4 linked regions of the Tribolium castaneum genome follow. The protein of the gene in region 3 binds, or shares a complex with, the protein of the main gene of each other region. Links are inferred from orthologs where the notes say so. Each region holds a gene or a part of one and is shown on either strand. Other genes may lie near its edges.

Region 1 (3,862 bases), on a different chromosome or scaffold from region 3:
TTGAGTTGTTTTAATTGAAATGTCTTCCGCCTTGGTTCAGAAAGCTTTAGAAATTGTAGATCCTGATTTTAGGAAACAAGCTAAAGGTAAAACCTTGCATCTTTTGTTTTATTTTTTTTTACTTTACATTTTAGTTAAAAAGTCGAAGAATAATACAAAAGATGTGTTCAACTTGATACCCGATAAACTAAAAATAACGAAAAATATTAGTAGAAAAGGACGCAAAGGTATAATCACATGATAAAACTGTGTTGTTGACACCATGTATTTTTTTTCAATTTTAGAAAAAACAGGAGTTTTGTCAACTTCAAAGAAACTAACAGTTTTAGAAGCGAAGAAAACTTTTAAGAGCAAGGACGAGATTTTGAAGGAAAATTTGAAAAAGCTTAAAGAAATCAAAAATGTTTGCACTATTGAACTTGATAAAGAAACTACAGAAAAGGTGCAATCCTTCTTACCATATGAAATGTTTATTTAAATATACTTTGTCTTTAGATAATTCAAAGGGCGGTCACTCGAAGGCCTGTGAAAGAAAAGAAAAAACGCAAGAAGACCCAAACAACTGTCTTCACTGAAGAAGATTTTAAGAAATTTGAAGAGGAATACACAGGGTAAAAATGGCAGTGTCAAATAAGGTTTATGGTATAACAATGCTAGGTTTGAGTGTCTTAAGTATTTTTTATATGTTTTTTATGTTAATAATTGTACCAATTTTGCCCCTTAATGAAGACAATATTTTAAGTTCGCTTTCACAAACACCAATTCTGTTAGTGAGTGGAATTTGTGGCCTGATTTTTTGTGGTGGTTTATCAGTTTTTACTGTTTTTGTAATGATGAAAGGAAAATGGAGACTCTTGTGGACAAACAGAAAATAAATAAAGTACAAATTGTAACTAATTTTCTAATTTACATACCTACCGACTGTGCCAAAAAAAAATTGAGGATACGTTCAAATGAAAAAACAAATAATCACAGAAATCAAATGTATTGGAACATTAATAAATACATAAAACAGTACACTTAATTACTGATAGGGGCTCCGGGAGAGGCTCATACCCCACCAAGACCTAAAAAAATAGTCTATCTACATATTGTTTCGAACACAGAAAACTTACATTTGTCTGCAATGTACTGACCGCTCCGATGTAACGAAAGCTCTCCCTCTACTGCCCCGCGCAATCCTAGTCGATGCCAAAAGCTCCCTACTGAACTTATTATACCCTGTCGGCCCAGTTGGCTGTGCCCCACATGTCTCTAAAGCCACAAAATCATCCACATGTAACGAGGGTGGTCTTGAAGTATTCGGCGGCCTTGAACGGAACAAATCCGACCTCTGCTGAATAGTTCTTGGGAAACCACGCGACCTAACCGGAGTAACTAAAAAACACCATTAAACCAAAACCTAAACTATCATCTCAAAAAATACTGAAAGGTTTCTTCGTTTTCGTCTTCTGGTCGTTATCATGGTTTTCCTTTTCGTTGCTATTATCTGAGGGACAGATTCGACACAGTTTTTCGATTTCTTTAGCGATGTTAAAGTCTTGGGGTAGATACTGACGGGCGATTTCGGCTAGGTCACATGATACATTCTCGTTTTCGGATTCGTCATTCGCCATCGATAGCCAATATCTTATTGTCAGTCTTTCGTCACAAACGTCCGAATTGTTGAAAATGAGCCGACCGGAAAACTGGACGAGGAGAGTTTCCGGTTCGGGCAAGATCGGCTCCGTTAAAGCCTCCTTAGTGTCAGGAGAATCCGATTGGAGGAACTTAACCACAGCACTTACTCCTTCCAGCATGCTCTCGAAGGTGATGTCTTCATCTTTGAGTTTCTTCAACACAAAATATTAATTACCACATGAACTATTACTACAAACGAAACGAAATACAAAATCGTATCATTTTCTATCCTTAAAAAATATACAATATCAAAAGTAAAAATGAGGGCGCCAAATTGTTAAATTAATTTAAACTCTACCACTTCATTAATTACTTGAAAAAAAAAAGGTGAGAAAAACTGACTACTGTCATTTTCACGATAAACGCGAGAAAATAATTATTTGAAATTTATAGTTTAAAGACACTCAAGCGACGGTTTCGTTGCATTTTATCGATAGTGTCGTACCGAAAGATTAATTTATACGTAAACCCTTGAAGAAATACTAGAAATAATATGGTGTCGCGGACTTTTTTATAAAAAAATTAATTCTTCTAACACTTTGTATCTTTAACCGTATTTGTAGCATTTTGATAAATATGTGAAATGTTGATGTACAGGGGGTAAACACCCCTAACCCCGGTCTAACTTTTTCTTTTACAGTCAGTATAAGCCTGCTCATCTCAGGGTTCAAGCTACGTCTGTCAAGTTGTAAATGTTAGATAATACTTTTTTATATTGTTTTTAATAAAGTGTTTGTACTAACTTTATCTTTGACTAATCTAAAGATTTTGATTTAAACCTCTTATTTTTGTTGTGTACAGTCACGAACAAAAGGAATGACACCCCTAAAACTGCAGCAACGAATCATTTTGATATGTTACAGTTTATGTATACATTTTGCTAGTTTATAAACTACTTCGACATTTTGTAAGCTAGCTGTAGAGTTTGTAATCTAGCCAGTTTGTTGAAATTTTGACCTAAAAGATGCTAGTCTTGACCTAGAATGGTGTGATGTGAGATGAGATGCATATGAAATGTACACATCTCACCTTTCCATATGGTCAAGAATAGGACCTTTAGTCAGGCTTTTACTATCCGGTCCGGTTAATAGGCGTGTCATTCTTTTTGATTGTGACTGTACATAATAAAAGGGATCCATTTGTAGTTTCAAAGTGCAAATTTTTTTGATTAAACTACATTCAATAAACTTTTATGAAATATTTAATACTCATATTTTTTTAGTATTACTGAGTTTAAAAAACTTGTCTGACTGTAAATTAAGATGTTTATTTACTTTTAACAATTATGTATCCTATTCTGCAAAGTTAAAGCATTCACAATAAATTTTTATCCATCTGCTTGTCGGTGAGTGAAATTTTTCAAAATTGTTTTTTTATATGAACTTTGATTAAATGTGCAATTAGGTAAGAATGTTAATTTTTTACAAAATTCCAATGGCTATTCGTGTACAAATCAAAGAAACAACTAAAAATTTAAAAAAGAATCTAAGTTTAAGATTTAATAAAAATTTACAATCTTAAAATGTAATTTTACAGGACAAAATAGCCTACTATAAAATAATCCCCGAGCAAATAGCTTAGTGACAAAACAGCCTATAAATAGTTCCAAATGCAGTTATTGGACGTTAGTCCTATAAAAATTTATCCAATTATTTATAAAACAACTACAAATTTGTTATAAATGTTAAATATTGGAAAAAAATAAAAATAAATTAAAAATTCAAAAATTATACAAAAACTTGCGTGTTTCTTAGTAGTTAAGTTAAAATTTCAAACGCATAAAAAATATATTGGATGAAAATTTACTTACAGTTCATCAGTTCCATTATGTAATCCCATAAAAACGAGTTTTTTGAGAAGATTTTAGCATTTATTCAAGAGCAAGATCGAGCATGAAAGATTTAGCGCTGGAATAAGGGACAAAGTAGTACGAGTATGCAGTAATTAACACACGTTTGAAAACACTATTGAAAAATTACAATAATAACACTAATATTGTGCGAGGAGTGTCTTATAATTTGTTCGGTTTTTAATCTTATCTTATTTTCCCATTAATTTAATTTTTTTTAATAATATTGTTTGAACATTTTTACTTACTAATAAAATTATAATACTTGTAAAACAGTCTGTTATTTTGTGATTTAACCCTTTTAAGATGTCTTTATTAAGATCCCATTTGTGT
Region 2 (4,980 bases), on a different chromosome or scaffold from region 3:
TTTGGTCCTGGGCATCAGGAAACATGATTTGGCATTTGGTGTAGTGCATGATTGCCTTTAGGTTTGAATGATTTTTGCCCAAAACGATTGCATGGTGTTGGGGCGAAATTTGGATAGTCATTTGAACCGGAATTTGGTTCTAAAAAAATTTCTAGAATTTTGTTGGAAAACACAACTTATAAGTACCGTCAAATTTTCGCACATGTATTCCATGAGCAAAATTGTAGCCTGCTTCACCTGCTCCACCTCCCATTCGACTCCCTTGACTAGTACTATAGTAGCATGAAGTTTGGACCTAGTTTTGAACATGACTTGCACTTTGTACTGTTCCTGGATTTTAATTACGTAAGGACACGTATTATCAATATTTTGGGCCATTATTGGAGGCTCAAACCCAAAAATCAGCGGAATTAATTCCTGAAATGATTGTACTAGTGGTAGGGTTGGATTCAAAATGTTTGATAACTATACCCTAACGCGACTCCTTGCATTTTCAACCCCTTCCAAATCGCCCGAAATCGAAACTTGATTGCTTTTTTCCATCGGATTCGAACGATTCGAATCAGGGAAATGTACGTGGCATTGAGTTTCTTCCATGACACGTTTAATACTCAGCCCTCCTCTGCCGATAATATGCGAATGGTCCGTGTAACTTATGTCCATTTTCATGGTTACACGATTGCATCTCGTGTACAAAACCGTCATAATCCTGTCTTTGGCGGCTTTAACATCCTCTTCTTTGCCGGCGATCCTCACGTGAGGATCCTTTTTCGATTTAGCCCCCAATTTGAGTTTGTTTGGCCACGTTATGTAAGTGTCAGTGTCTTCCATAATGTTCGCAAAAAAAACGTCAGCAGGGATCAGTGCATCGTTGTCCCCTTTTTTTACAAATAATTTCACAAATTACAAAAAAAACTTTACTTACCACTAAGCATCTGTTCCAACTTTTTGCGGTCGACCCGGAACCGGTCCTGGTACAAATCCGAAATGTCCTTTAATCCGTGTTTGGCAACAAAATCCCTTAATTCCTCTCTGGAGCCCCAATTTGAGTTGAAACCAGAAGTAGCCGTGCCGCTTTCCGACACTTCTGATTGTGTGTCGGAATTTTTTACCTCGATTCCACGAGGTGTAGCACAATTACAAGACATTTTTTTTTTAAATCACTACGTCCACAATTAATTAATGACTAACCCCATTTAATGGTCACTTTGTAAGGATTTTTACGCGTTTTTAAGGGCTGTGTAGGTGACACGCTTTTGGTAATTTGCGCGACTGAACTCTGATAAGGGCCAAAGAGAAGTTTTATCTCCTGCTTTTTCTCAGCATGTTTTTCTTCAATCTTATCTGAAGTACTCTGGTACAGGTAAGCGCCAAATTTTACTATTTGCCAACTTTTTCAGGTTTCTAAATAAAAGAAATAAAGTATTTCAACAAAACTTTATTTGTCCTTAAGTGTTACACAATTTATTTCTACCACAAATAATTCATCCCCCAATTTAAATCTACCGCCACGATATGTCAAGCGGTGGCGCTACTTGATTATCATCAATTTTCCGAATTTTGCCAAAAACTGCGGGGAAACTAAATAAAATGAGTTGATAAAACCCGTCTGCACTTGAAAATGGGTGAAGTTATGAAACACCTGCGTGAGAAATCACGGAAACGCAAGCAACTTCTGGCTCAAACTGTACGTATAGTAAAAATGTGGTTATGTATCACTGACAAATAATGTTTAAGCTTGGTGTTTCCAACCCCGAGGAGCTCCGCCAGGTCCTAGGAACCACAACCGAGGTCTCTAAGAGACGTCCCGATTCCACCAACAACGAAAACGAAAAATACGACTACAAGAAAGACACTCCAAATGAATTGGTCTATCGTGACTCTTCAACTTTTCTCAAAGGGACTCAATCGTCGAACCCCCATAATGACTACTGCCAACATTTTGTCGACACTGGTCAAAGACCCCAGAATTTCATCCGCGATGTCGGTCTAGCGGACCGGTTTGAGGAGTACCCCAAATTACGTGAATTAATCAAATTAAAAGACGAACTTATTGCACAAACTGCAAATCCCCCTATGTATCTCAAATGTGATTTAACGACTTATGATTTGAAAAACCTAAATTGTAAGTTTGATGTGATTTTAATTGAACCACCTTTGGAAGAATACCAGAGAACCATGGGGGCCACAAATATGCAGTTCTGGCCATGGGACCAAATCATGAATTTGGATGTGGGGGAAGTGGCAGCGCAACGAAGTTTCGTATTTTTGTGGTGTGGAAGTTCAGATGGACTTGACATGGGGCGCGTGTGTCTCAGAAAATGGGGCTTTCGCCGGTATTTTCCCCATTTTTAGACCAAAATTTTGTAATAATAAATCTAATTACAGATGCGAGGATATTTGTTGGATTCGCACAAACATAAAAAATCCAGGTCATTCGAAAAACCTTGACCCTAAAGCAGTGTTCCAAAGGACAAAGGAACACTGTCTTATGGGTATTAAAGGAACGGTTCGGCGGTCAACCGACGGGGATTTTATTCACGCCAACGTCGACATTGATTTGATCATTTCGGAAGAGAACGAATATGGAAGTTTGGAAAAACCGGTTGAAATTTTCCATATAATCGAACACTTCTGTTTGGGGCGTCGGCGCCTCCACATTTTCGGTAGAGACAGTACCATACGTCCAGGTTGGTTAACGATCGGTCCCGAGTTAACAAATTCGAATTTCAATGCCGATTTATACGCGAGTTATTTTACTAATAATAATATAACGACGGGATGTACGGAACGAATTGAAGCTTTGAGGCCGAAAAGTCCGCCTCCAAAGGGCAAAGGAAATTCCGGAGGACGAGGTCGGGGCAACTTTCAGCGAGGACGTGGCAGGGGACGTTGAAAAAACACTTTTTAAAGCTTTTATTTTTAATTTATGACACTACCATAGTCTCCAGCAGTGCGCTCAGATCTGATTTGAAAAAATTATGACACTACCAAATCATCTCCAGCAGTGTTCTCAGATCTAATAACTTAAAATATAATATTAATCTTGGATCACAATCACAATAAGCAATATCAATATAAAAACTATAATAACCATACAATTATGTATTTATATATAAAAATAGTGGTTTACTTTATTTTCGTTCAATAATAATGACGCAGTCACATAATTTTTGTTACTTTAACCTTATAATACAATTTTTATATTATAAAACTGGTTGGTACCATGTTAAAAAATATTTTTCTGAAGACCATACACTGGGTTCGAGATTGTTTTCAATTAAAATCAGTTAAAACATTAACAAAATTTGGCATCGTAAGTACAACTTGTTTCTATTGTTGAAACACAAAGAGAAAAATTAAAACATGTTCTAAGTTTAACTTATAAGAAGGTACTTCCTAATGTAAAAAAATACATTGAGAAAAAAACTATGCACTAAATAATTCGAGCATACAAATTATTGGTCTTAATAAAATAATTTAACAGCCTTTTCTAGGGAAGAGAGAAATTTTCGTTAAGTTATTACAATTATAAAATTAGGGAAAATTAGAACTGAAGCCTGAACAAGAAATCGTATACAGTTTTGGATCGTTAAATTATTCTTCATTCAGTCTTCATATTGTACTGGCAATTCGGTTCACAATTAGTTCATTTCTAAATTTCCCTACAAAAAAAACTAGGGAGAGGGTTAGGGGGAAAATGGCAAAAATCTTATAATAACCGGTAACCAAAGTACTAACATTGGCAAGATAAAATGAAATGAGATCAAAAAAGCATTTGTACTCTCATAATTAAAAAGTGTTTTGACTGATTTTAAACTTGGTTTAAAAAAAGCAAGCGGATGAATGAATGATCAAAAAAAAATAATGACACAATCCCTTCTCTACATGCAATATTTACAGTTTTGTACGATGCATGCCCTTTGAGCCTCCCATTCACAGGTACGTGGACTCCCCTAGAAATAAATTTAAGTAAGACTGATTTCCCAACATTGTACACACAACACAAATAAGCACAAGCACAATTTACACATAATTACCTGAAATCCGTATTTGTTCGGAGGCTTTTTATACGAAAAAAAAAATAATAATAAAAATCAGACCAACGAGAGAATTATTATATCTTTTTAATCATTGTCTCATTAACGGAAAATACATTCTTACAACTTGAGCTTACACAATACAGTTTATTAAATTCAAAAAACCAGAATCATCACTAAGCAAAAAATGTGATTGTCCTACGAAGAAAAAATTTTGAGGTAGACGTCGCTGTTCCCTAATAATCTATCTGACTGACACACCAATTTAATAAACTGTAATCCGGCTGCTTTTTGTACTCGATTTTGTGTTATTATTACTTGCGAATAGAAACGGTCTCGGATGCGAGCCTTGAGGGACGCCCAGGGTAGATAAACAAAAACGAATCTAGAAATACTGGTAAATGCACGATTAGACATGGAGTTACGCAGTCAACAATTCCGGTTGTTGGTCGCCGCTGCTTGATGTTGTTAGTTGCGAAGCTAACTCGCATTCTGATAATATTCTGTAGCCAACACCTCGAGGATCATCCATTAGGGTCTCGCCTTCATCCAGGACTGCATGAGATTAACCCCAAACATAGATTAGTAAAGACACATGCAGATGATTCGATCATAGAGAGAGAGAGAGAGAGAGAGAGTTAATACCAACACGAAATGAATGAAATGGATTGCGCAAGCGTTGTACTTGGATTTAAAATAAAAACAACAAAAACGAAAAAGTCTTTTCGAAAAAACCAAAACAGATCAAGGAAAATATATTCTTTTACAAAGCCAAATTTTTGTAGCTTACACAACACACTTTATACTCGTCAACTATACAACTACATCCTAATGAAATAAATACTTTTTTCTCTTTTTAACAGATAGAGACAATAATATTTTTTCTGTTCAAACAGCAACAATGACACTTTGAAATTTTAATAATTATTACAAATAACAT
Region 3 (5,304 bases):
TAAAAAAAATTAAATTACCAAAACTTAGGCCCAAAGACTCCATTTCAGACTTTTAGAAAAGATATCAGGTACAGATACTGTGTCTGAAGATAGCTATTTCAAATATTTTTTGTAATTTATTTGAGATGAAAGACTTTTGCTTTATTTAACAACACGTAGTATCATCACATGGAACGCTTTACTCCTACGCTGATTGTTGAAGCAATAAGTACTAAAGATAATACTCACCATGCTGTTGGACGTTTAACTGTGATTTAAAATGAGTGTAGAAATTACAATTAATTTATGTATATCTTACCAGTGTTATGATCAAAACGAGTAAACTTTTCCCCTTCATTTTAACTCTCTCACAATCAAATGCCGCAAAAATCAAATACGAAATAATTAAAAAACAATAATTGCACAGTTTTATAGCTCTAGCGTAAGACGCTTTTAAAAACAATTTCATGCTTGATATTTTTAATGAAATTTTATTGCAGTTTCATTTTCTTGTTCATCAAATCTTCTTTTACACACATCTAAATGCAATAAACGGGTGTGTAAATGGCAAATATGACATGACGCATTAATTTTTATATTTAATGCTTGATTCAGCAATTGAAACATTTTATACAAAATATAAATAATTTCAGACAATCGCATTTATGGTTTGTATGAAATTTCTGTTTATAATTTTATTTGTTTGAACAGGTTTTATTAAAAATTAGCCACTTTTTTTCTTTCTGTGGTAATTAGATTTAGGTGCACTAGTTTTTCAGTAAATATCCGTGCACAAATAGGAAATTAACTTGAAAATTACTTGTTGTTCTTGACCAAATAAACCAAATAATTGAACGGCTTACAGGTATTTGATTTATTGCAAAAGTCGAGTCAAAATGCAAAATTTATTATGGATAACACCTTACTGCGGTAAAATAAAATGCTTAAGTAGGAATTACTTCAAGCGCTGAAAAAGTCAGTCTTATTTATCTGTATTTTTATAAATGTGGGATTTTTACCGACAAGTCAAATATCGTAAATTTTAATTAATCATCACTCTGATGCAGCTATTTTTTTTTGAAGAATGTTACAATTCCTCCAAATTTATTCATTAGAAAATAATCCTAATTAAACAACGAATTTTTTGTCAATATTTTAATTGAATTTAATCCGTATTTATATAATCATTCAGATTTGGATACTTTTAGTAGTCACGGAACAAGAATACTTGAAATAAGTTTGGGGTGTGAATAAAATTTGACTGCACTAAGTTAAATTAAAATTTATTTGTCTTGACGAATGCTGGTCTCATTAGGTTGCATAAAATTATACATTAATGAGAAAATAGTTTTTGTTTTAGTTATGTCTGTATGTTTTTTTAAATAATAATATAATTTATTCGGAACAATTTATTAGGCCAGGAAGAGTTATGTCTGAGTTCTCAATAATTTAAATTTTGCAATGTAGATAACCAATAATACAGCCTTGCATTTGGCATCTGTCCGACACTCTCAAATAATAATGTATAAAATTATAAAACTTAGATTTTCTACCAGAAACGTAGATTTAGTAGTAAGTACTATTGTAACTAGCAATTCGTTTAAATTGAAACTTGGCCACATTGAATAAACCGTTTCAACTTGACCGGACTTCGCCAATTCCATCCCACGCCTGCGTACCACCACTTTGCCTTGTCACATCCGCCATATTGTCCACCATTCGCTTCCATTTCTGTGATGCCCCAACGCAGCACTCATCCACCTCAGTAAATGGTGATAAAACTCATTATTGTGCCCCTAAGTAAGCCCCCACACCCACACACACACACCCCGCTGTAAGTTTCCATTGCAGGCGTTAGTGTTTATGCTCGCCTCCAGCCGAGACAAAATAACAGTCCGCATCCAAAACATGAAACGCAGCAGCGACCGCGACACGCCCCCACGCAGCAAACGCTCCCGTTCAAGCATGGGCCGGTACGACGACAGCTCCGACGAACGCCTAACCCCCGAACGCGTCCGCCGTCGTGGAAGCCGCAATCGCTCGCCCAGCCCCCGCCCCAGGTATGTCAGCCCGCATCGCGATGAATATCTGCGCCCCCCTGAACGCGCCTACCCTTACAAAGTGCTCTGCGTCAGCGCCCTACACCCCAAAGCCAGCGATGAAGTGATCAAAGACACGCTCTATCGAGAGTACAAAAAATACGGCGATCTGAGCATTAGACTATCGCATGATGTTGATGAACGCGTAGCTTATGTGTGCTTCCGGAATCCGGAGGATGCACGTGATGCCAAACACGGGAAACCCCGGATTATTATTTATGATAAAGTTGCGATTGTTGAACCTGTGTATGAAGTGCCCAGGTCAAGTGATATTTATAGGAGTCGCCCCAGGTCTATTACACCAGAGTATGATCGGCATTATTATGCTAGGTCACCTGAACGGTTAAGGGTTGATCGGTACGATAGGGCTTACGGGCCCCCGCCAGGGGTCCCAGTACATAGAGATTATCGCAGGGAGGCTTTACCTGCTCCTCATGAGTATTTGGCAAGGCCTCCGATTCATCACCCGGCACATTTAACCCCAAGTCATGGATACGGCCCCCCACGACATACGGTCCCAAGGCCCCCCTTTGAAAAAACAGAGAATAAAAAAGACAAGTTTCCGAATTATTTGCACCACATTCAACCAGAAGATGACCCGTTAGCGACTCGTACGTTATTTGCCGGTAATTTAGAAATTAATATCACAGAAGAAGAGTTGCGTCGCATTTTCGGTCGTTACGGTGTTGTTGAAGATATAGATATCAAGAGACCACCACCTGGCACAGGCAATGCCTTTGCTTTCGTTCGGTTTCACACCCTTGATATGGCCCACCGTGCTAAAGTCGAATTATCAGGTCAATACATCGGAAAGTTCCAGTGTAAAATTGGTTACGGGAAAGCAACCCCAACTACACGTATCTGGGTTGGGGGGCTTGGCCCTTGGACTTCAGTCCCCCAACTAGAACGTGAGTTTGATCGTTTTGGGGCTATCAAGAAAATCGATTACGTCAAGGGCGACAATCAAGCCTATATTCTGTACGACAGTATCGATGCAGCACAAGCGGCTGTGAAGGAAATGAGAGGAGCCCCACTTGGGGGGCCTGACCGTCGCCTCAGGACTGACTTTGCGGACGTGACACCGGGAGTCGTCTACCGACCTAAACCCCCCTATCCTGGACATGAAGACAGTCTCGATTACCGCCGCCTTGACTACGATTACGACTACGACGACTACGCCACCCGGGGGTACAGGGGTCGTGCTGCCTACCCCGAACGCCGCGCCGGCAGCCGGGGCCCTTACCGCTACCCCGAGACAACTGAAGATGAATGGGGGCGCTCACGCCCCGAATACGAACGCCGCCGTTCCGTTGACCGCTCCAGGTCCAGGTCACCGAGACGTTCCCCTGATTCGGATTCGGATAATGGGTCTCGTAGAGCTGGGTTGCTCGCATCTAGTCGGACTCTCCCCGAAGTGGCACGGAAGTGTACGACAGTGTGGCAAGGTGCTTTGATTTTGAAGAATTCGCTGTTTCCGGCCAAGTTTCATTTGATTGATGGCGATACGGATATTGTGGAAGGGTTGATGAAGGACGAGGATGGAAAACATCAGCTGAGGATTACGCAAAGGTTGAGGTTGGATCAGCCAAAGTTGGAGGATGTGCAAAGGAGAATTTCGGGGGCGAGTTCGCATGCGATTTTCTTGGGGTTGGCGGGGTCGACGGCGTCGGTCACGAATGATGATAGTACGGTGCAGACGAGGCCGTTGAGGAATTTGGTGTCGTATTTGAAGCAGAAGGAAGCAGCTGGGGTTATTTCGTTGTTGAATAAGGAGACGGAAGCGACAGGGGTTTTGTATTCGTTTCCGCCGTGTGCGTTTTCGACAGAGTTGCTTAAACGTACGTGTCCGAATCTGTCGGAGGAGGCGATCAAGGAGGATCATTTGGTTATTGTTGTGGTACGTGGTGGTACTGCTTAATTTTTATGACTGTATAGTCGTTGACTATACTGTATTATTATTTTGTTTTTTTTTACTTATTTTATGAGGTAGAGCTCATTTTTTTTACCCCCCTCCAGGTCTACACTGGCTAATTTTGTTGACAGTTTAAACAAATTGTACATTTTTCAGGAAATTGGTGATCAACAACGATGTTGATTGTGTTGATGATGATGATGATGCTTTATCATTTAAGTGCTTACTGAATTTGTTTTGTGAACTTTGAAAATATTCTGTAACTTGATTTAGTGCTGAAGTGAATTTAGTTTAAGTGGTTGCAGTTCTTTCTCATAGTATCTGTCATTTGTATTAGTGGAACATTCTGTAAGGATTTATCTGTTGTTATGTGAAAGGACTGTAAAAGGAAACAATTAACTACAGTGTTGTAGTGTTCTGTGCAAATAGTTACTCTTTATAAAGATTGTTTCAAAATAAAACCAAGTTAATGATTGTGATGTAGTGTTAAGACACTTATCAGTGGCTAGGAAGTATGGTCTTCTATAATCATTTCTCCTGTCTGGTTATAAAATGTTCAATAGTGTTGTGCAAATAGATAAGTTCTTTCAGACGATTGTGTTGTTCTGTTCTTCAAATATTCCTTGTGAGTGTGAATGTGCACAAAGTCCAAATTTCGCGCGGAGTTTTCTTTTCGTAGTAGTGGAAAAACGTAATTTAATGGCTGTGATTTTCTCTAATTGGATTTCTCTCATTTTATTTGGAATTAAACGAGTTCAGTGATTCGAATTTAGTGAGCAAAATTTTTCGTGTTGTTGAACATTGTGAGAACACTAAATTTTTGTGAATAGTGTTTTCAACATATTTTTAAACTTGTACACAGTCATATTCGTTAATAAAAACTCTAAGTTGGATAAATCATTCTACCTTCAGCAAATAGCCAATTGGTAAGTTCCTCCAGCTTTACTAAGTAATTTAGCAACCCATAAGCGGGACTCATAATTTCAGTAAAAGAAGTTTTTTTTTAATTTAAACTAACTTATAAAGTAACAGTTTACAATTTTAAGTACCTAGAACAGTCTACACCATATTGAGGGTAGTATTTGTAGTCAGGGTAAGTATTTCTTTAATGTTAAAAGATTAAATTGATTTTTCAATAGATATTTTGTATGCACTTCAATTAATAAAATGATGGTTAAGAAAAATAAATAAAAAATACAGAAATTCAAAGAATAAATAGCAGTTATGGATTTCAAAATGCAGATTTTTTAAATTAGTGTAAAAACAATCAATTTAAGGTTGTCCAACATTGTATTTTACCCGAAAAAATAGTAA
Region 4 (5,392 bases), on a different chromosome or scaffold from region 3:
AAATGGTTTTTAGAAAAATTACTCCCCATTCTTCCAACAAATAATGTAATTGTAATGGACACTGCAAATCACCATTCGGCAAAAACGAAATAACATCGAATAAATTTTCCAAAAAGAAGAAATTCAAAAATTTCCATTTTTTTAAGAAAGTTTTTTTTTCCCCAATCATTGCAACTTTAATCCGATCGAGTTGATATGTGAGGAAGGTGAAACTTTGCGAAGAAATAAGTGAAATAACACTTCACTAAAATTTTATTGTGCCAGTACTCATTAATTATGGAAAAAAATTCAAAAATATCTTAGGTACATCAACGAACAAAACTGAGTAAAACACGTTGTTCGTAAAAAACCAGAATAAGAAAATTGGAAAAAAATTAGAAAAAATACTGCCTTAACAATTTAAAGTTTTTTCAAAGATTTAAAATTACAAAAAATACATTGAAAGAAGATATTAATGAAAGAAATGTTTTAGAAAACAAAGATTTTTTTGCATAAAACGTAAATGCTGATTACCAATCACAGAGCATTCTGTCAGGTTTATGACCTTTGTTCTTTAATTTTTATTTCCAATCCCAAGAGCTTCATTTTTTACTTTTTTTTGCTTACGTTTTTTTCTGTGTTTTTTTTTAATTGTAAAGAACTTCATAATTGTTTTTATTATTAATAGTAGCATAGTATTTAGTTAATATAAATAATAGTTAATGATTGCAAAGTTAAGCTAACTGTGAAACCTAAGTATACCTATAAAATTCTGAAACGGCTTCATTTAACTTATTAATTGGAAATGTACTTCACAATTTTTAAGCTAGTTATAACAACACTAAAAAAAACTTAAGTTAACAGTGATACCATCCATCAAAACTTTTAGATAAAATCAAAAATTATGTTAGCCAAACAAGTATGTATTTAAAAGGTGAAAACATCTTCAAAATTGTTAGAATTTCAAAAAAAACTGAAAAGGTGGATAGTTCAGTAGACAATGATTTAGGTAAGGGTTCAATAAATTTGGCAGTATCAAATTGAAGCATTCTAGATTTATTTACTCCAAAATAAAGCTAACTTTTGGGAAATTGTTTTATTTTATTATTTTCCACAATCATAGGTACCATAAATACCAACACTAAAACTTTTAGCCTGCATTTAAAAAAAAAACGCAATTTAAAGAGTGATCTTCAAACCCATCTTTGTGGGAAAGCCCCGAATATTTTTTTTCTTCTTCTAAATTTAGACTTCTGAAGTGATTCTCTACAATGCTCTGAACTATGGATTCGCCAATTTTGAGACACTCTGTACGTGTAAAATCTCTGAGCAGTTCAAGATAGAGGAAACTTTGAATTTGAGATTACACTCCACAGGAAGGTCAAAAGAAACATTTAAATGTGAGATTTTTGGAAACATTAAATCAAAGCTAGAATTTCTAAAAATAAAAATAATAATATGTAAAAGTTGAAGAAAATAAAGTGAAAATGAAACATTAAATGAAAGATTTTCGTCTTTTGATGAATACGAAAGCAGTGATAAACAAAAAATAGAAAGTGCTATTTAAAAGAAACATAATACATAACTAACATTGCTTTGAACTTCTTTCTCGCATATACAATATACAGTGCAATGCAAGGGGGAATCTGCTAAAAGCGTATCTTCAATGAAGACAGTTCTAACAAAATTTTAAAAAAACTTACGCTTTTATGATTTATTGTTTAAAAAACAGTTCGTTTCTTACCTATCCTTATCGTCCTTTTTATCCCGACTTCTCTCCTCCTTGGGCGGCGTCCCCTTGTGATCCCTTCGACTGCTCCCCGTGCTACCTTTAGACCGACTTGGTGAGCCCTTCTTATCCCTTGAATGCGACGAATCTGGAGTATCCCTCTTCTTAGTGTCTTTCGTCGACCTGCTGTCCCGTTTCGGCGACCTTGACTCTTTCTTTTTATGGTCATCCTTCTCCCTATCTTTCTTGTTCCTTTCCTTCTCCTTTTCGCGTTCGCGTTCCTTCTCCCGCTCCCGCTCTCTTTCCTTTTCCCTCTCCCGTTCCTTCTCCTTTTCCCGTTCTTTCTCTTTTTCTTTCTCCTTCTCCTTTTCTTTAGGTTTGGGAGAGGGCGTGTGGTGTTTCTCCTTACGGTCGCTTGACCGACTCGTGGGCCTTGGGGACTTTGCTGGGGGGAGCCCCGGCTTGATTTTGGGGGGCGGTGTTTGCGACTGTTTCCGACTGCGTTGCGGTGTTGGAGACTTGGCTTTTGGGGCTGTTTTAGTTGTTTTTTTAGTTTTGTCGGTGCGTTGTGACGATTTTGAGGATGTTCGTTTCGTTTTTGGTTTCTTTTTCGGGGGGCGCTCCGATGAGGATGAGGAGGAGTCGCGTTTGGTTTTGGTTTTTTTACTCTTCTTCCGACGCGTTTCTATGGACGAGGAGCTGCTGGAGGTGGAGTCGTCACTTGAGGAGGACGAGTCCGAGGATGATGACGAGCTTTCGGTCGAGGGGCTGCTCTCCTTCTTGGTTTTCTTGTCCTTTTTCCGGGCTTTGTTCTCCATTTTCATTTGTAGTTCGAGTTCTCTTTGCAGTTCTTGCCGGCGCTTTTCTAGATCATCAGGGTCGGCGTCGGCTAGTTCCTCCGGGTCCCAGTGGTCCCAATCCTCGTCTGGGTTTCCGGGATGGACCCGTTTATTTGCATTGTCCTTGCGCTGGGTCTTGGCCGCCCGTTTCGAGGGGCTGATCAGGGTGTGGGTGGAGGAGTACTTGCAGCCTTTTCCGTAGGGGCAGGTGCCGCTCTGGGCCCAGTGGTGGCAAAAGTCCTGGCTGGTGCTGGCTTTGGTGCCCAGACGCTCGAACACGCTGGGGCGAGGCTTCGAGACTTCTTTGCTTTTCGGAGTTAGGTTCACGGTTATTTTGCGCTTGACCTGTTTAGACATTTTCACTCAGAGTTCGCGAGGTGAGGAGGAAAAATTGCGAAGCACTTGACGCTACCATATTTACGTTTGACGTTGCCGGCATGGGAGACTGTGGGCTTATCGGCTAGGGGCCTCCTTACATCATGCCGCACAGATGGCGCCCAAAAAACACAATTTCGACTTGCAAACGCCCGATGGACACTTTTTTGATCAATCAAACGAGATTTTAGCCAATTCCCAAAAAACTGGAACGATTTGTTTTGCAAAAATGTAGCCACTTGACAGGTGATAGTTTTTTGACATTTAACAGACAACACCAGTGGCGGTCTCAACCTGAAATTTTACGGGAACAAAAATTTTAAAACTCAAAATCTGTCGATAATGTACACTTTATTATGATATATTTTTGATTATGCCCCACTTGCGAATGATTTAGATATTAATTTCGTAGTTTTGGTCTGTTTCAAATTGTTTTTATTTATTGACAAAAAGTCAGTAGCGTCGCGGCCAACATTTCAACAGGAGCAAAAATATTAAAAGCACTGTTTAAAGACCAATTTTCCATTAAGCAGCTTTCGCATTTTTAGTTCAATCAGTGATAAAGGCACATTTAATTAAATTAATCAAAATTCGTAATGTGGTCTTCAAACAAAAAGAGAGGTTATGTTGACAGTTGTTTGTGTTGTGTTATTGTGTAAAGGAAAAATAGAAATGTAACACTTAAAAAATGTTCAATTCCTGCGACAAACAGAGAAATGATTAACGATGTACGCCCCCAAAAAACCTAAACTACGATTTTTGTTAAAACTTGGAATTTTAATTGCTGCGTTATTAGTTGTTTATTTTACGTTTTTTCATTACAATTCCGATGGTTCTGCTAACGATGCAACATTTTTGTTGCCATTCAAAAAGCCTAAAGAATACAATGTCTGGTTGATATTTACTAAAGTCTCTCAAAGGTCGCCGTTAAGATATAAATTCCACAACTTGTTGGAGAATATTTTAAACATAAGTTCTGTTCCTTTAAAGTTCCATATTATTGTTGATAATAGCTCAAAGCAATTAGCAGTAGGTGAAATATCAGATGTGGTGTCGCATTCGAATAAAGCAATATTTTATAAATTTTATGATGTTGAAGCGTGTGCAAGAGCGATTAGTGATATTGTCGACGTTATGACCCCTCATTTTAGTTCAAAACCGGGTAAAAAGGCTTACTTTTTAATTGCACTATTACTAGTTTTGACTTCAGGTACTTACTACAGCGACGCACTTTTCTATATTTCTTTGGGGCTGTATCGGATAGCCCCACCTTCCCAGCGAACTGCCCTTCTACTAGACTGTGATTTATACTTTAAGAAGGATATTCGATTAGTGTTTGAGGAGTTTGACAAGTGAGTTTATGAAATTTCTTATTCTGGTCAAAGTGACCTGTGACTGACATGAAGTCATAGATCACTTTGATCGGAATTTAATTCAACTGTTTGATAGGTTTAAGCCAACTGCGCTTTTTGGTTTGGCCCCCGAGCTGACTCCAGTCTACCGTCACGTCCTCCAAACCTATAAAGTGAAAAAGAACTCAACATTCGGAGAATATTATCATTCCAAGGCGATATCGAGCAATATGCAGCATCCTCGTGGCTTCCAGGGCTATAATTCCGGTGTTGTTTTGATTAATTTAAGTGCAATAAGAAAATCAAAGGAATATTCCCAAATTATCAGGAATGAAACTGTGCAATATCTCACGTCCAAATACAAATTTCGAGGTCATTTGGGTGACCAGGATTTTTATACTTTGATAGGGTTTGAATATCCTGATTTGATTCAAACCATAAATTGTGGTTTCAATCGCCAATTGTGCGTCTGGTGGCGAGAGCATGGCTACCGTGATGTTTTTGATTTTTATTTCAAGTGTCAACACCCCGCTGTTATTTTACATGGAAATTGCAACACGAAAATTCCAAAATAAATTAAAGACTGGTCATCTATTCGTGGAATCTCTACACGTCCACTAGTAGTTTTGGGAAAATTTGAGTTGGCAGCATTGGTTATTGCCAATCAAACAATCATGTGGTATGACCCGGTATATTAGGTACGAGTGCATTACTGGGTTGTGAAAGTACTCATTTATTTTCTTGTTTGTAAAACAGTATTTTTCAAAAATAAACAGTTTTTTATTTTTCGATTTGTTTTCTTAAGAATTGAAAAAAAATCCCATGATAGTCGAAATACATGTATTTAAATCTATAGATCGGTTACAATATAGGAATACAACAGGAAACATTCGAGTAATAAAACTTCGTATTCAGTGAGTTATAAATAGTGAATTTAAAAATTCAAAAATTGCAAAGCACTGGGTTCATTATTACAGTTTGTAAGCCTGTCTCATCATTAGGTCGAAATAGCCGTCATTGTCGATCGAGGCACTGATGGCCGAATAATAATTAAAAAATTCTTCGTGGGTTACCTACAGAAATTAATTAAAACTTTTGTTCAATCTTCATTAACCAAC

The links.
Region 1: nito (region 3) and vir share a complex: the UniProt entries of both Drosophila melanogaster proteins name them as parts of the WMM complex. The link is inferred for Tribolium castaneum from reciprocal best matches to the Drosophila melanogaster genes nito and vir.
Region 2: nito (region 3) and Mettl14 share a complex: the UniProt entries of both Drosophila melanogaster proteins name them as parts of the WMM complex. The link is inferred for Tribolium castaneum from reciprocal best matches to the Drosophila melanogaster genes nito and Mettl14.
Region 4: nito (region 3) and fl(2)d-associated complex component share a complex: the UniProt entries of both Drosophila melanogaster proteins name them as parts of the WMM complex. The link is inferred for Tribolium castaneum from reciprocal best matches to the Drosophila melanogaster genes nito and Flacc.

Annotation. Positions count from the first base shown.
Region 1 is NC_087394.1:22,068,313-22,072,174, reverse strand, and holds the end of vir (protein virilizer), read right to left. Parts: intron 1,833-3,862; coding exon 1,427-1,832; intron 1,378-1,426; coding exon 1,116-1,377; intron 1,068-1,115; coding exon 1,025-1,067; 3' UTR 967-1,024; downstream 1-966. Other genes in the region: active regulator of SIRT1, read left to right, coding at 20-86, 135-227, 285-442, 496-615. UniProt on the Drosophila melanogaster protein: Associated component of the WMM complex, a complex that mediates N6-methyladenosine (m6A) methylation of mRNAs, a modification that plays a role in the efficiency of mRNA splicing and is required for sex determination.
Region 2 is NC_087399.1:166,059-171,038, reverse strand, and holds Mettl14 (N6-adenosine-methyltransferase non-catalytic subunit), read left to right. Parts: upstream 1-1,492; 5' UTR 1,493-1,621; coding exon 1,622-1,687; intron 1,688-1,737; coding exon 1,738-2,336; intron 2,337-2,388; coding exon 2,389-2,896; 3' UTR 2,897-3,170; downstream 3,171-4,980. Other genes in the region: BicC (protein bicaudal C), read right to left, coding at 1-139, 187-417, 472-878, 926-1,148; phosphatidylinositol 3,4,5-trisphosphate 3-phosphatase and dual-specificity protein phosphatase PTEN, read right to left, coding at 4,239-4,425, 4,475-4,595. UniProt on the Drosophila melanogaster protein: Non-catalytic component of the WMM complex, a complex that mediates N6-methyladenosine (m6A) methylation of mRNAs, a modification that plays a role in the efficiency of mRNA splicing and is required for sex determination.
Region 3 is NC_087396.1:24,540,016-24,545,319, forward strand, and holds nito (RNA-binding protein spenito), read left to right. Parts: upstream 1-1,624; 5' UTR 1,625-1,779; intron 1,780-1,830; 5' UTR 1,831-1,842; coding exon 1,843-3,975; coding exon of another isoform or gene 3,976-3,996; exon of another isoform or gene 3,997-4,146; coding exon 4,147-4,173; 3' UTR 4,174-4,582; downstream 4,583-5,304. Other genes in the region: uncharacterized protein LOC663498, read right to left, coding at 229-247, 299-337. UniProt on the Drosophila melanogaster protein: RNA-binding protein that acts as an associated component of the WMM complex, a complex that mediates N6-methyladenosine (m6A) methylation of mRNAs. M6a modification plays a role in the efficiency of mRNA splicing and is required for sex determination.
Region 4 is NC_087398.1:11,172,181-11,177,572, forward strand, and holds the start of fl(2)d-associated complex component, read right to left. Parts: upstream 3,168-5,392; 5' UTR 2,905-3,167; coding exon 1,724-2,904; intron 1-1,723. Other genes in the region: Xxylt (xyloside xylosyltransferase 1), read left to right, coding at 3,649-4,084, 4,133-4,274, 4,372-4,849; calcyphosin-like protein, read right to left, coding at 5,246-5,347. UniProt on the Drosophila melanogaster protein: Associated component of the WMM complex, a complex that mediates N6-methyladenosine (m6A) methylation of mRNAs, a modification that plays a role in the efficiency of mRNA splicing and is required for sex determination.